Linked DNA regions of Oreochromis niloticus. The protein of the gene in region 1 purifies or fractionates together with the protein of each later gene. This does not show direct contact. Links are inferred from orthologs where the notes say so. Each region holds a gene or a part of one and is shown in the gene's direction. Other genes may lie near its edges.

Region 1 (7,438 bases):
TATTAAGCAAATCTATTTAAATGTTGTCTAATCAGTGCATAAAATACACATTAGAATAAAACTCCTGTGTAAAAACAGTGCTATACTCTTTGGAAACTGGGTTTGTATAAATATAAAAGTTTAGGAGGCTGTGTAAAATGTAAATAAAAACAGAACCAAATGATATGGAAATCTGATGAATGCATGTTTTATTATAGAACAGAGAAAACACTCTTTCTATTTCATGAAAAATATTAGCTCATTTTGAATTTTATTGCAGCAGAAGGTTGCAAAAGGCTTTTTAGGGGGGTACTAAAAAGAAACGACAGGAGGAATATTTTGCAACTAATTAGGTTAATTGGGAACAGGTCAGTAACATGATTGGGTTTAAAAAGAGCATCTCAGAGATGCAGAGTTTCTCAGAAGTAGAGATGGGCAGATGTTCACCCATCTGTAAAAAAAACTACAAATCTACAAATGTTGCAACAATATTCCTCAGTGTTAAAATGCAAAGACTTTGAATATCGCATCTACAGTAAATAATAACATCAAAGGATTCAGAGAATATGGAGAAATTTCTGTGCACAAGGGACAAAAATCAATATTGGATTGGATGGGGGCCCTCAGGCAGCGCTACATTTAAAACAGGTACGATTCTGTCATGGAAATCGATGTGGGGGCTCAGGAACACTTCCAGAAATCACTGCTATAAACACGGTTCATCGTGCCAGTCTCAAATGCAAGTTAAAGCTCTATCGTGCAAAGAAGAAGCCAAATATGAACATAATCCGGAAACGCAGAGTGGAAAAATGTTATGCGGACAGACAAATCAAAATTTGAAAATCATTTTGGAAAACATGGACGTTGCATTCTGTGGCCTAAGGAAGAGAGGGACCAAATGTGACAAAGAACTGTTGAGCAGCAAGAATCGTGCATCAGAGGAGAACGAGACAACATCCCTCTGCCACAAATCCTCCATCTGAACTTTTGGTCTCCTCAGTTCCCAGATGTTTAGAAGAGGAGTTGCTGGCAAACATAATCTCTCTGAGATTCATCTTAAACATCTGACATGTTGTCTGTATTCTGTTATAAATAAAATATTATATTTATATTTATATATATTAATTTACACAAACCAAACACTTTTTTTTAGGAATCCTGATTGCATACTGGAGGAAAACAGTAGACTTGTATCCCATGAATTCAGAATCTGACAGATAGACAGTATCGTGTTCACTTTAAAGATAAAAAAAAACAACCAGAGAGCGATGAATTCATGAGGCTATGAGTCACTTGTGTGGATAATTTATTACTGTGGCATTTTCTGTTGTCTTATTTGGACACCTCCAGATGTGGCCCCTTTCTCTCTCTCTCACTCGCGCTCCAATTTGGGCCATCAACTCACAGGAAGAAATTCCTCACAAGCCAAGCGCACATGCCTAATGTCATCACAAGAAGATTTCCGCCTGACCTCTAATTTATTTATTTCCTTTCCTACTTAGAGAGGGATCTTTGCTTTTATTTATTTAATTTTTGACAGGAGCTAACCTGAGGAGGGCGCACATGCGGTGCTGCTGCTCACTTCCTGCAGGAAGATGGAGAAAAAATTCAGAAGGGCTGTTTTTCTTCCTCTTTGTGGAGATTTGAGGACACTTACCTGAAGAATTCCTTCATGTTGTGCACAGCTATTCAGCTACTAAGTGTCTTTTCTGAATTTGTTTCATAACTGCTGCCTTTGTCAGCTTTACCATCAAAGGTTTAACAAAGAACATGGCTTGAAGTGTATCACATGGTGGATTAGAGAGATGTTTGCTTTCTTATAGGTATGGCGGGGAAATAGAGTGGGATTTGTCTCCTTTTTATTAAAAAATAATACAAACAAATAGGGTTGTAGTAGTGTCGAGGTTTATTTGATTTTCCAACCTTTCACCATCCTTTGAGACCAAATATTAAATATGCACCGTCAGGACCAAGAGCAGGTGCTACTGACAGCAAGCATGCACGCTACTGTTTATGTGTGCTTCTCTAAATAGTCACCCACAACCAACGCTGTGATGTCTCCATTTGTTCTACGGCATCAGTGTTAATTAGAGAGGGCAGCCAGAGAAGAGGCCCAGACACACAGGACAGAGAACAGAGGCTGAAATAGACCACATGAGAAGCAGCAGGTCACAGCTCTGTCCATATTACCTATAATTGTGTATCTTCACAGCATGAATTGTTGAAGGAGATATCCGTGTCTTCTAGCTCCTTTTTTTTGCTATATTCCTTTGCCCTTTTTCTCATCTTTCCATCATCTCCTCCTTTCATTTATTTATTTATTTATTTACCTCATTTCCTTTACACCCTGCTTATGTTGCCCAACAAAGAATCTGATTTGCCACATGAACGAACAGAACAGAAATGCAGAATGAATTAAAAAAAATATATCCCCAAACAAAGGGTTATTTTAATCCAGCTTTTCTATATCAGTATTTTACATTTTTGTCATTTAAGTTTGTTGCAGAAAATATGCACAGGAGAAACAAAATCTGCAGACAGATATGTTTTTGAAATGTCTGGTCACCAGTTGCATAATGTAGCAAAAGGTGTCCATCTCTGTTTTACATTTACAAGGATTCAATGGACTAGAAACAGGCTTTAAAACAAGGGGGTGGTGTAGTGGTACTGTTGCCTCACAGCAAGAAGGTTCTACTGAGTCGCCTCCACCACCTGTGTGTGGAGTTTGCATGTTCTCTCTGTGTCTGTGTGGGTTCTCTCCGGGTACTCCGGCTTCCTTCCACAGTCCAAGGATATGCAGTTGGTAGGGTTAGGTTATATGGTGACTCTAAATTGCCTGTAACTGTGAATGTGAGTGCAAATGGTTGCCTGTTCCTCTGTGTCACACTGCTGACCTGTCCAGGATGTAACTTACCTCTTGCCCTATGGTAGCTGGGATAGGTTAGCTGGGATATCAGTCAGGATGGTTTTCACCATGTATTCTGATGCTTTTCCTGCTACTGAATAAAAGCATCCTTAGAGGAAGACTCTTTGGGTGCAATTGCAATCAAAGCATTTGACAGTTTTCTACCTTCCATTTGTAAACTTGTTCTATTTTTGCAGGACAAAGAGCAGATATGCTTCTGTAAGATGAAAATTTGATAGACTAGACCAAGATTCCCTTTAGATACATCAAAAAAAAAAAAAAAAGGAGAGCGAGAGACAGAAATCCTGTTGTTGGAAATATTTCTTGTCACTTTTCATCTTAGCGATAGCAGCGGCTCTCTGATTTCAAACCTCCTTTTGTAATCACAAAGAAACCACAGACCCACTTACGGTCTGTGTTTAGCAAATGATTCATCCCCGAAACATAACTCAGCCAAAAGTTGTCAGATACTTTCTGCAGTCTGAAGACCTAATAAAGTTTTGTTTCCCAAACTGTTTTATGCCACGATGTTTCAGATTAGAGGTGAGAAAGACATCTTCATCTGTGCTCTCATGCCATGAATCCCCATTAGCTTAGATATCCGTACACTAATGAGGCAGAAATGGAACACAAAATCTAGAAGTGTATCTGTAACTGTCTCTTCTTCTTGACAAACCCACAACATCATAACAGCATCACACACAGTTCATTACATTAGGTGACTCATGGATCTGTTCTCTGCGGAGCCTCTCTCCTCTTTATTAATCCCTCCAGCTGAAGCAACCCTGCATAATTATTACGCTCACCGTGACCTTCCAGCGGCTGCTGAAGTTTGTAAGTCAACAGATTATTGAGATGCTGCAGAAGCTGAAGAAACTTTGCTTTTTTCCTGTTTTTTCCGCTCTGTTAGTCTTCATAAAGGTCAACAACCCACACACTTTGAGCTCACGCAGTTTTCTGGAGTTGTCAGAAAAGGGTTTAGGAAAGCAAGAAATCATATCTTAATATAGCTAGAGAATGAGGAACCAATCACACTGCGTTTATCCAACTATAGCTGTAGATCACTGTTTTTTCCCCTCTGTTTTTTAGGAACAACAGCATGGTTCAGCTGGCTTGTGAAATAGACTAATTTCATCATAATTTATATAATAAAACTGGCACACTTTAGCTCATCAGCAGCCATTTTCTTCTGTTCTTCTTTTAAACACTAGCCAATGCCATGCTCACAAAAGCCTTGTGTTTTTCATTTTCACTCTCCTCACCAGCTCCCCACCAGGTAGATGTTCTGCAGAACCCACAGTCAACAAAGGCTCCTCTCTGGCTTCCTGTCTTGGGGGATCTCAGACCCGCAGATGTTGCGCCTGTCAGGATGATAGATGGCCGTGGTAATCATCAAGCTATAATAACGAAACTGGAGTGAGATGGAGGGGCGAAGGGATGAGAAAGATGGATGTCTGAATTATAATTTTCCCATTGTTTAGCCCTCAGTGGGTTTGGAGACCAGTAACTGTGACACTCGTGGAAACTAAGGTCTGGGAGCAGCTGCTGGGAGTCACGGAGATATGAGGGAGAGATGTGAAAGTGAGGGAGAGGGAGAGAGAGAGATTAGTACTTAATCATGTGTGGTGCAGTGTGTGAGAGATCCTACGAGGACACTCAGGTCTGCTAGATGCACCTGAATCGGGGTGATCGCTTCCTCTCCTCCCCCTCTCTCAGATCACCGCTCTAAAGCGCTGACAGAGAGCGGACAGTCGCTCACAATAACCGGCTCTGTAGCAGCCTCCGGCTTATCTCATCTCCCCCCCGCCCGGTGCCGACCCGCACCGACTGTTCCCTTCTCTATCAACTGAATCTCCCCGACGCACCATAGAGGCAGAGCTGCGGTCGTGTTTCACTTTCTTTGCTTGCACGGAGCTCGCATCTTTTCCCCGGATCTTTGTTTCTGGACGGCAGGCTGCGGCTGTGTAATGCCCCGGTGAGTGCTGGATGGTTCCTGGTGTTATCTTTGCGTATATTTCTTTCTTCTTCCTCTTGTTGTTTGCCACAGAACAGATGCTCTGATAAGATATCTGAGATATGTGTCTGACATAGGGTTGTTTATGGTTGGAATACTTTTCCCCCCCTTATAAACTGGGCTTTATGTTTTATTACATGCACTTCCATTACATTGTTTTTGTTCTGTCAGAGGGGCGTTTCTAGAGTGTGTGTAGACACACAAAGGCAGCTGCATCAAGCCAGCGTGCGCAGAGGAAGAACATGCAGTGTTTCCCATGATGTAAAGTGGGCTAAAACTGCCTTTACGCTTATTGAGAAGTAAACCGAGTATAAAAGAGAGAGCGACAGAGAGAGAGAGGAAGATGGAAAAGCGAGAGTAGAAAACAAAGCTACAGAGGTTCCTCTGGGACAGAAAGGCATCAGCACAAAGCCGGGAGTATGACAGATGTGCCCTTGTTTGCTCATATCTGCTATCACCGACAAATTTGGTAACATCATATTGGCTCATGCCAAGAGTTCACTTTTATTTCCCTCCTCTTAAATGTGAATGAAAGACTACGTTATATTCTTTTAAAGGTATGCACTCTGAATTTGAATATAAGACGCTAAACATTTTTTGGACTGGATAAAGACACTGCATTGTTATTCATAATATATAGCTATGTTGCATAACCTGAAGAAATATAGAGAATAAATGCTCAGTTCGTGTGTGAGAGAGAGAGAGAGAGAGCACCAACGACGTCTCTAGTGGTTATGCATTATTTATAAAGTTACCCCAGTGCTGCACCTCCCACCCAGCACCACTGTCAGTGCTGCCTCTCTAGTCTCTCTGTTCTCACCTTACACTCTTGCAGCCTCTGACAGTCAGCCTGACTGAGCTTAACATGAGTGTGTAAGTATTTTAAAGGCTGTGGAAATGGGGAGGGGGGGGGATAAAAGCACCTGCAGTCCAGTTCAGTTACAGGGTGCATGCTCTCCATTTCAAGTAAGAAAGAGCTGAAAGAGGGAAGAGTTCATTCACAACCGTGCCCTGAGGCTTCTGGTAGCAAAGAGATTTGTTTTATAGATTGATGACTTCACCTCTGGGGCTGAAGAGAAGGAGAAAGTCAATTCTTTTGTTTGCTACCTCTATGTGACCTTCCTGGGTTAGAAATTGCAACTAAAATTGTCTAAAGCTGAAAGGATGAACAAGAAACTGCCATCATGTCGATCTAGTCCACCCTGTCAAATAGACTTTTTGCTTTGATGTGATAACAGTTTCATATAGCGCATATTAAAGCACCATAAAATTGATCATCCTCTCTCTATGCACTCAAAGTTACTTGCATAGATTAGGTTACACTGCCATTCGGTGTTATGTAATGGTAACTCTGCCGCAACAGACCCTGTTAACACCCAGGCTCTGCTGCCGTCTAACTTTCCTTGTTATCTTCCTCGTCTCCAAGCTTTCACCCCATTTCCTCTTTCCCTCCCCAGCAGCAGGAGCAGCAGATGTGCTGAGCGACGCAGCTAATGGTGGTGTCTTCCTATACTGGCCTTGATGCTGATGCTGCTGAAATCCCTACATTCATGAAAAGGCAACAGGAAGCAGATTTCTGAGGGATTACACCCAAGCACATGTACACATATGAATACTGAGCGGATACCACAGCTCCAGGACTTGGCTGGCGCCCAGGTGTGGAGCTCCCTTTGAATGAACTCGCGTGACTGATAGAGGCACTCACTGGTATCATGGAAGAAGAGGAGGAGCCAACAGAGTCTTATTGAATGTAAAACACATGACCCCTCCTCCCTTTTTTTTTCCTGCCTCGCCATCAAAGGCTGCTTGATGACTTGTAACAAACAGCGGAGCGTGCAGAAACAGAGAAGAGTGCAGAGCCGACCATCCGCCTGCTGCTGCTGCTGCTGCTGCTGTCCCATGATACATCAAGTCAAGAATCAGCCACACGGAGGGTTGTTTCTATGGATACCCCATGCCCTGAGTAGTATTAATAAGGCTCCCTGATATTCTGACTATCTGTGCATGAAGATACAGGCAGAGATTAGAAGTGCACCCCTGCAGCAGACGTCAGCTCTAAAATAAAACATCTGTGAGGGAGAGACAGACATCATCACCGTCAAGAGTCAAGAGGAAGATGCTGAAGGAAAAAAATAAGTTATTTTTAAACATCCACTGTAGAGGCTTTACCAGCATGTTAAAAGTGTCCCTGTGTGATCACTGACTAAAGCCGAACATTACAGTTTTGCATATTTTTATCTGTACTGGGTTTGATGTTTTGCTCAGTTGCACCTTTTCTCAAAGGCATCAGAGTTCATCTTCTTTGTCCTTAGTTTGGGACACACAGGCAACAGATGGTGAAGTACAACTTGAATTGCTCCACACTGTACTAAATGAAGAGGTCAAATGACGCACAAAATCTTATTCTTTAGATCCCATGGAGATCATTTCTTTTCTTGCAATACTAAGAATAGCTCTGAAATTCAGCACAAGCATTTCTTAATAATCCCTTTTTAAGTTTTGGTTGGTCTCTTGAATTGTCACCATTTTCCGTAGGAATA
Region 2 (8,067 bases), on another chromosome or scaffold:
CATGGCAATCAAGATGATAGTGTCATAGAGACGCCAATAAGCTCGAACACCTTATAGCTAAATGATAAATCAGGAGTCTGAAACGGGACTGTTCATGGATACCAACACTTGTACTCCAGCCACATTTCTGTACCCCTCCCCCACCCGCTAACATGGCGCCCAGGAGTCCACAGTTTAAAAAAAAAAAAAAAAAAAAAATGTAATAGCCACTGCAAGAACACAGCACATGGGACTACATCGACAATGTTACAGTGTCCGTGCACACACGCAGCTAAAACTGGCCGCACGTGAGGCGTTCGCATATAATGACTAGTCTGTGGACCACGCGTGAAACCGCAACTGCTCCAAACTTAACGCAGAATCCAGCACACAAGCTAGTAGTTACGCGAGGGCTCCATCAAAACAGTCCGCTCTAAGCATGCGCTAGCCAAACAGGCTAACGCGTGCAGCTTGCTACAGTGCGTTTAGTTGTTTAGATTATTATCCAATTAAAGTTTGTTCACCTATCCGTATTCCTTAAAGACAACACGTAATCCAATACCCTAGTAAGCTCACGAAGTATGCTGGTAACGTTTAGATATTCGCTTCCACTCCCCGTCCACTTCTAAGCATTGTATTGCCCCTTGTCTTAGCCAACTTAGTTGTTTCAGTATGGCTAACTCACACATGCTAATTAGAGATCAGTACACGTGCTCCCAGGTGCTTGTAAACGCCGACAGCGGCGTTTGAATAAACATAAGAGAGCCCACATAACTAGTGACAATTATGTTATTATTTTAAATACACATCTTTTTTGTTGGCATGTTAGCGTTAGCCGCTAACTCGGCAGCTCGCGAGATAGCAAAGGCGCGCGGCCTGCTACAACCCCATGTGCTGCTGCTGCTTTGTTCTGGAGGCACTTTTAAATGTACACCACCGCAACCCGAAATGACTGAAAACTTAAAAATTATACAAACAGACGGCTGACAGCGAGGGCACGTGAGTCTACAACTTGGGGCTTTTGCCAAAATTTGTAGCGGTTATTTTATTTTATTTCTTTTTACGAGTGTGGACCACTTCCCCGAGGTACCGACAAGAGGTGCAACAGCAGCGGCAACACATGCTTTTCAAATCTCCCTCATTCTCCTGCCATGGAGAAGAGGTTGCCATGCGCTTCTACTACATTTGTTTTTAAAAATGCGGAAACTTGACTATTAAAACGCTTTCTTCTCCCCTCCTCGCATATACGTTAAAGCGCACACCCGTGCCGAAGTCAACCCAGCGCATTTCACTTTCCCGACGTTTACCGCATCTCCCCAAAAAGGCTAACAACAGGTTTCTTGCCAACAACACGCGCCTTATAAGACACTAAAAAATCCACCATCTTCACTCACTTGTTCAGACTTACCGTTTACCCAGTTTCTTGGACATCTGCAAAATTTAAAAAAAAGAACACAGACTTCACAGATTAAACATCGGCTAAGACGTGTAACCCCTCCAAAAAAGTGCACAACCATGTGCTACTATTATGATTTGCTAGGATTTTGGGAATCGTAGTAAGATTGCGAAAGTGGCGCGAGTAGACTCTCCTTTTAACCATGTGGTGAATGAAGGGCGGTTCCCAGCCAGCGTAGCGGAGCCTCAACTCCTTCATTAGCATAAATCCTCTACTTCCTCTCCAAGTGGGACTCTGAAGTTTCCCCACTTAATTCATATATTGTAGCTATACATACAAAGGTGGTCACATAGATAAGCCGTTTTAATAGGGGAAAAAAATATATCAAATTGCCTCCCATTATAATCACTGGACGGGACGCCGTAAGGCTCTCTAATCTGATTTTGGTGATGTTTACACGTGGAATAAAAAATGTTTTATGAGATTTAATACATTCTTAAAATAATTCGATCTAACGAAAAATAAATTTGTTCTATTTGTTTAAACTGGATGATAGTATACGTCTGTGTGCTAAATCTGTTTACTACATAAAAAAGAATTATTTGGGGAATTTTCTGGGATGGCTTTTCAGATTTGTAGCTGACCAGAATTTGAAGCAGTGTAACCAAAACAGAACCTTACAAATGAAACGAATAATAATCATGATAACATTTTTCGACTTTCTATGTTTTAGTTTTTTTCGTTTTGTTTTTATTTGACATTCTTTACAATATTAGATAAATAAAAAAATATTATAATAGATTTTTATCTTTAGTTTTAATGAGAGACTATACCACCATGCTTCTTTATACAATTGAACTGTAACATTTAGTAACATAAAAATATTCATTAATGTCAGCAAAGAGTTTTACAAAGGGAATCCAAAGGCCACCTACATGGCTCAGTGTCTTTTGCTGGGCCTATACCTTCTCAAAGGACATAAGAAGTGTTCCCAGCAGAAATGAGAGAACTGTCGTGCATATAGCCATAGGTCAGTGTAGTTCACCTCTAACCCCTGGATTCATTCATGTGTGAAGTCACACAATGGAGGCACAGATTTTGAAGTTGCCTTTTCTGCTCAAACAGAAGAGAAATGCAAATGTAAATTTCAGTGACAGAAAGCATTGCAATGAAAACATATGAACGATTATGATGTTGAACTTTAATGAAAAATAAAACAACAAATAAAATAGATACAATAACTATTTCAAAGAGGTGTAAGTCTCACTTCAACTGTTATTTCTGTGACATATTTAACATTTCCTAAAATTCACTTTGAGGATTTAAAAAACAAACAAGCAAACAAAAACATGGGGATGGCAACATTACAAATCAATCTTTTATTTTGCTAACAGTGTTTTTTTGTAGGCAGAGAATGTATACAACATACAGTGGAAATCTTCAAAAACTAACAACAGCAACAATTGTTGTTTAAAATCGAGGTGTTTGAAGAGAATATGTAGAATCTCATGTGGTAAAAATGTGACAGCGAGCTTGCCTAAGTGTGATAAAACTAAAACACTTAGAATTTACTCACCACAATTTTATAATTAAACTGAATCTTAGACAGTTTTAGTGTTAGGAATGAATCTTTCACAAAAACAAGTTGTGTTGCATTTAAGAGAAAGAAAAACATCAAATCCAGATATTGTAGTCAACCAACTTTTATGTTTTTTTAAAAAATCAAATTGATTAGATTGGTCATTATCATTATCTGTAAAAAGCAAACAATTCAAGTTCAGTTAACTGAACTTGAATTGTTTGCTTTTTTAAAAGAAATTAACAAATTTATTAATAAAAGAATAAAAATTTGAAACAACAGTAAGGAGGAGCAAGACAGGATCTACAGAGTGAAAAAACTTAAAGACTTAACAAGACTTAAAATGGCAGCAAGTGTCTGGGCCCTTACATATCTTCTGATATACAACTTGTTTTAGACTTGGGCAGTACATTTTGGAATTAATAAATTATTATGTGTAGAAATACTAGAATGAACACACTTGAATAAAATATGTAACATCTAAACAGGACAAGAATAATTCACGTAGGTCATACCTAAATAAACAGAAAGGGAAAAAGAAAAGAAAAAAAACCTGATAGTTTTTAAAAATAAAACATGTTTTACAGTATAACCTAGTTTGATAGCTCAGTTTCTCACACAACAAATACGAAAAAGAGTTACCCCCTTTTTCTTAATATTTTGCTTCCAATGAATTAAATGCCATGTTTTCTGAAGATATGCTAAAGATTTTCTTTGAACATTGGATGTTTTTATTCATTTTCAGTTCCATCCTGAATCATTCCAACATAAAAAAAAGTTACCAAACTCTAAAGTTGAAGCAGTTTTGTATCTACAAAAAACAGACAACTTAGCAAAGAACTTTTAAATTGTTTTTCTGCCTCTTCTTTACTAGAAGCCTGTCAAAAAACACATAATGTGTTCCCATTTTTTTGTTGAATTAAAAATATGAAAACATCTATAAATAATATCTGCCATATAAAAACATAAAATATAAAATAGTATTTTTGCACTAACAAGTTGACTCCCAAAGAGCTTGGAACACAAAAGAAGAAGTGGCAGGCAATGTTAAAGCAGATGAACAGTACATGAAAGTTATGTAATTAACAAATAAGAAAAAAAATAGTCCAAGTTGTGTTGAAGCATAAAGTTGGTCCTACCAAATACTGACTTTTAAGCTCTTTCCCATTTCCTAGCAACGAATTAAAAAACAAGGTAGCTCAAGACTTTTGCACAGTACTGTAGCCATTGAATCAACATAAAATGTAGAAATAATTGTCACAAAAATTGTTGTATATCTATATTGGTTTTTTAGTTCCAGAATCACATTTATTTATGTACTACTGGGTACTGATGTAAAATAAGATTTAAATAAGAATGGTTTTTATGGTATGGGAACATCTTAGGTCGGGTAGGGTCTTTTTTTGTTTTGATCAAATGTAATAATTATTATTAATTAGTTTCAGTTAGCACAACTTGTGTTATTGTTGATGTGTTCTTATTGCGGCTCGTTGAATGAGTATTTTTGAACCTACCCAGCTGCCATAGGTCACACGCTGCTCTCCACGGAAGTTAGATCAACCTGCCATAATAATATCATACAGTCAGACACGGTACTTTTACAGGCAATTGTTATTAAAACTAAGGATAAAATTAAAATTACGGCGTGCTAATACAGTGGTATATATTTCAAATTGATGTATTAATTTGTTTTAGAGTATGTATACATATAACAATGTAGCTGATAATATAAAGTTTATTTTATTTTGAAAATCGAATTCACGAGTTCCGGTGGGGTTGCCGTAGGTCTGTCAGAGGAGTCGTTCTAACAGACTAATGCTGTGTGTTCTTGCCATGGTTTCATGAGGTTTCTCACCGTTGCACGTGTTGCTTTTGGATCGTAAAAGGTCAGTTCAATGATCTGGTTAAAATACATACAGATTTGTGCAATTTTAGTTTAGTGTAGTTTAAATTAACATTGTGTTTCCTGCTGTCTCATTGTAAAACGTGTCTGACCTCTGTTGGTTTACAGATGGACAGACTACTTTAACATGTAAATCTTTAAATAATTTAGGTTTATCGTTTGGTTTAAACTGTAATTTTAAGAGAGAAATATCATGTATTGTAGGCAGTCTCGGAAAGAGCTACAAAAGTGCATTAAAATAGCCACCATAACAAAAAAGTAGTGTATGTTCACGATTGACAAGCAGCTTTATGATGTTTGTGTCTAAAGTTTCAACATTTAAAAATTAACCAGGAAGCTCATCTGTATGCATCTCTATCTTTTTAACTGTGCTTTTAATACAAACAATTTATAAATTATTCATTTGTAAGATATGCTTTTGCTTTGGCACATTACTTGACTTGGCACATGACTTTTGTTTTGCTGTATTTTGCTATGTTTTCTAGTGTGGTACACCCATGGCTGCCTGTGTGGTGTGTCGCTGGATGCCCAGGCTACGCCACCTCCCAGGCCTGAGAAAAGGCTTTGCCCGCGCTCAGCATGTGCATATTAAACCAGAGGATGAGGCTGATGATCTGGAGGAAAAGAGAAGCTTGTCGCATCACAATGAAGTATGTTTAGAAGGATACAGGCTCCATTACAGCCCTTCTTCATATCATCACTGTGCATTGAACTCTGCCTCCCATAGCCAAACAGACAACGATGAAGATGAGCAGTGTCTACCCACTCTCGCACCTTCTTTCTGGCAACGGAGCAATCGCTACAGTGTGAGTTGCTCACGACATCTCTCCAGCTCAAAAAACACTCTTCTGGACTTGGCCTTCAATAAAAGCTCTGAACCAGAGATCCCCTCAGCGTCCTCTTACCAGAGAAAACCTGTACTACCAGATGTTAAAATAGACACGCGTGCCTTCCACAAATGCAGACCAGAGTATGCCTCAATGAGCCTAGACCTTAACCAGAGACCTCACCCACTCAAATGGGAAGAGGCAATGCAGCTGCTCCAAAAAGTGGCTGTTTTAAAGGGCAGCATGAAAGCATCTGATGTGTCTCAGTTTCTTATGGAGCTCAGCCGATTGCACCCAGACAAGATGCCGTTAGTGAGGAGTGACCAGCGCTTCATCATGCTCCTTCGATATTCCGTGGAACACCTTCGCCACTTTACTCAACTTCAGCTGCTAGAGGTGCTGCAGTCGTTTGTGTGGCTGGGCATGCCCTCTGCCCACACTATACTCGAACTGTACGAGACTGAGCTGAGTCGCCGGTCCAGTCAGATGACTTTGCATCAGTTGATTTTAGCTGCTGATTTGTGGCGCTGTATAGGGAAGCAGGCACCTCAGTTCCTACTGCACCTCTATGACTCCGTTCGTCTGCATCTGGGACAATTGGGCGTGCCCGAGGTGGTCCAACTGTTGTATATATTGGGAGAGGGTAGGCAGTGTCCAAAAGACGTGATCCGTCCTCTGGAGCAGCTTCTCATGAATCATTTGCCACAATTGCGACCTGAGGAGGTTGGTGTTATATGCTTAGGACTCTTTAAATCCCAAACTTCAATATCTGAGAGTGCAGTGACTCGCATTGTTGATAAGGCACTCTCTTTTGTGAAGGAGATGAGCGACTTTGCCATGGTGAATGTGTTGAAGTACCTGCGTTTCAGTTATTTATATCACAGGGCATGGCTGGAGGCCATGGCAGAGGAAGTTCCTCAGCGTGCCCACAGAATGGGTGTCAAGGGGCTAATGCATGTGGCACTGACCTGTTCTGCTCTTCATTACAGTAATGACAATATCCTTACTGCTGTCGCTGACAGAGTACCCTTGTTAGTGCCACACTGCAGAAGTAAAGACTCATGCAAACTCTTGTGGGCTTATGGCACATTAGGGTTTCTCCCATTACGGAGTCCAAGCTTCTATCCAAGTCTTACAGAATCCCTGAGGCAAAGGAAAGCTGAATTTCAACGATACCCAGAGCATCTGCTCACTGGTCTTTTAGGCTTGGCCTTTGTCTCACAGTTCCCAGAGGACCTAATTGCATTAGCCTTGAGCCCTGATTTTGTCAACTTAGCACTGAAATGCACACAGCTTGAGCTGAAGAAGGATTTGTTCACTTTAGATGGAGTTGTAGCTTTGGAGTTGCCTCAGTGGACTGGCCCTCGACTGAGCAGTGAACTTCGGGATGAGGTTACAGAAATGCTGTGGAAGTTTGCTCAGTCAGATGTGTGCCAGAAACCCGAGGTTCAGGAGGCAGAATCTGCTCTGAAAGATCTGCTTGGTGGTGAGGAGTTTGTATGTAAAAGAATGATCCTTCCCCATACTCGCTCCATTGACCTGGAAGTACACCTCAACTCCACTGGGCAGCCTGTACCTGTGAACCAAGCATCTCTAGAACAAAGCTCATCCACATCTCCTTCTAATCAGGGATGGGGGAAATTAAATGTAGGAGTTACAATAACTGATGAACTTTTAGCACAGTTGATAAATAAAAACAACAACACAAAAGCGCCTTTGGCTCAATCACCTAAAGTGAAGACTGCATCTCTTCAAAGATTACAGCCTGATGAAAGTGGGAGACTCTTTGACACAGTGTTAGACTTGACCACTGACATTATAGAAACTCTGACCAAACCCAGTCACCTTGGGTCTTCTCGCAAGGACTCCAATGAGATAGTCAAAATTGCCGTACAGGTCTCGAACAGGAACCACTTCTGCTCCCAGTCACAGCAGCTCCTGGGACTTCATGCCATGAAGAGAAGGCAGTTAAAGATAGCAGGCTATAGGGTTGTAGAGCTTAGTTATCAAGAGTGGTTTCCATTGCTGAGGAAAAGCAGAGCCGAGAAGCTGGCATATCTGCACTGCAAACTCTACGACAATCTATAATGATTCTCAGCCACAGTAAAGTGGAGAAAATTTGGAGTCCGTTGCAAACTGTATAACCATCCGGCTTCTGGAAAATCTTTACAGTGTTGAAAATATTTGCACATTGCAGAATAAAAGATGTTTTGTATTGCAAAAATGTTTTTCGTTGAGATTTTTGTAAAAGTATATTTTTAAATTTACATTTCAAGACTATAAAAACTGTTGATATGAAAACTAAAACATCAGCTTTTCAATGCCAGGCTGTAGTATAAAATACATTTGACATTTATATGTTCTTGTGTGTTTACTTAAATGT

What was found. The genes of interacting proteins can lie anywhere in the genome.
Region 2: the proteins of mapk4 (region 1) and fastkd5 purify together in Homo sapiens (affinity purification with mass spectrometry; 3 studies listed by BioGRID and IntAct, with this or other methods). This does not show direct contact. The link is inferred for Oreochromis niloticus from reciprocal best matches to the Homo sapiens genes MAPK4 and FASTKD5.

Annotation. Positions count from the first base shown.
Region 1 is NC_031977.2:22,132,967-22,140,404, forward strand, and holds the start of mapk4 (mitogen-activated protein kinase 4), read left to right. Parts: upstream 1-4,139; 5' UTR 4,140-4,859; intron 4,860-6,355; exon of another isoform or gene 6,356-6,358; 5' UTR 6,359-7,438. UniProt on the Homo sapiens protein: Atypical MAPK protein. Phosphorylates microtubule-associated protein 2 (MAP2) and MAPKAPK5.
Region 2 is NC_031987.2:17,799,956-17,808,022, forward strand, and holds the start of fastkd5 (FAST kinase domain-containing protein 5, mitochondrial), read left to right. Parts: upstream 1-4,574; 5' UTR 4,575-4,840; intron 4,841-5,342; 5' UTR 5,343-5,354; coding exon 5,355-7,772; 3' UTR 7,773-8,067. UniProt on the Homo sapiens protein: Plays an important role in the processing of non-canonical mitochondrial mRNA precursors.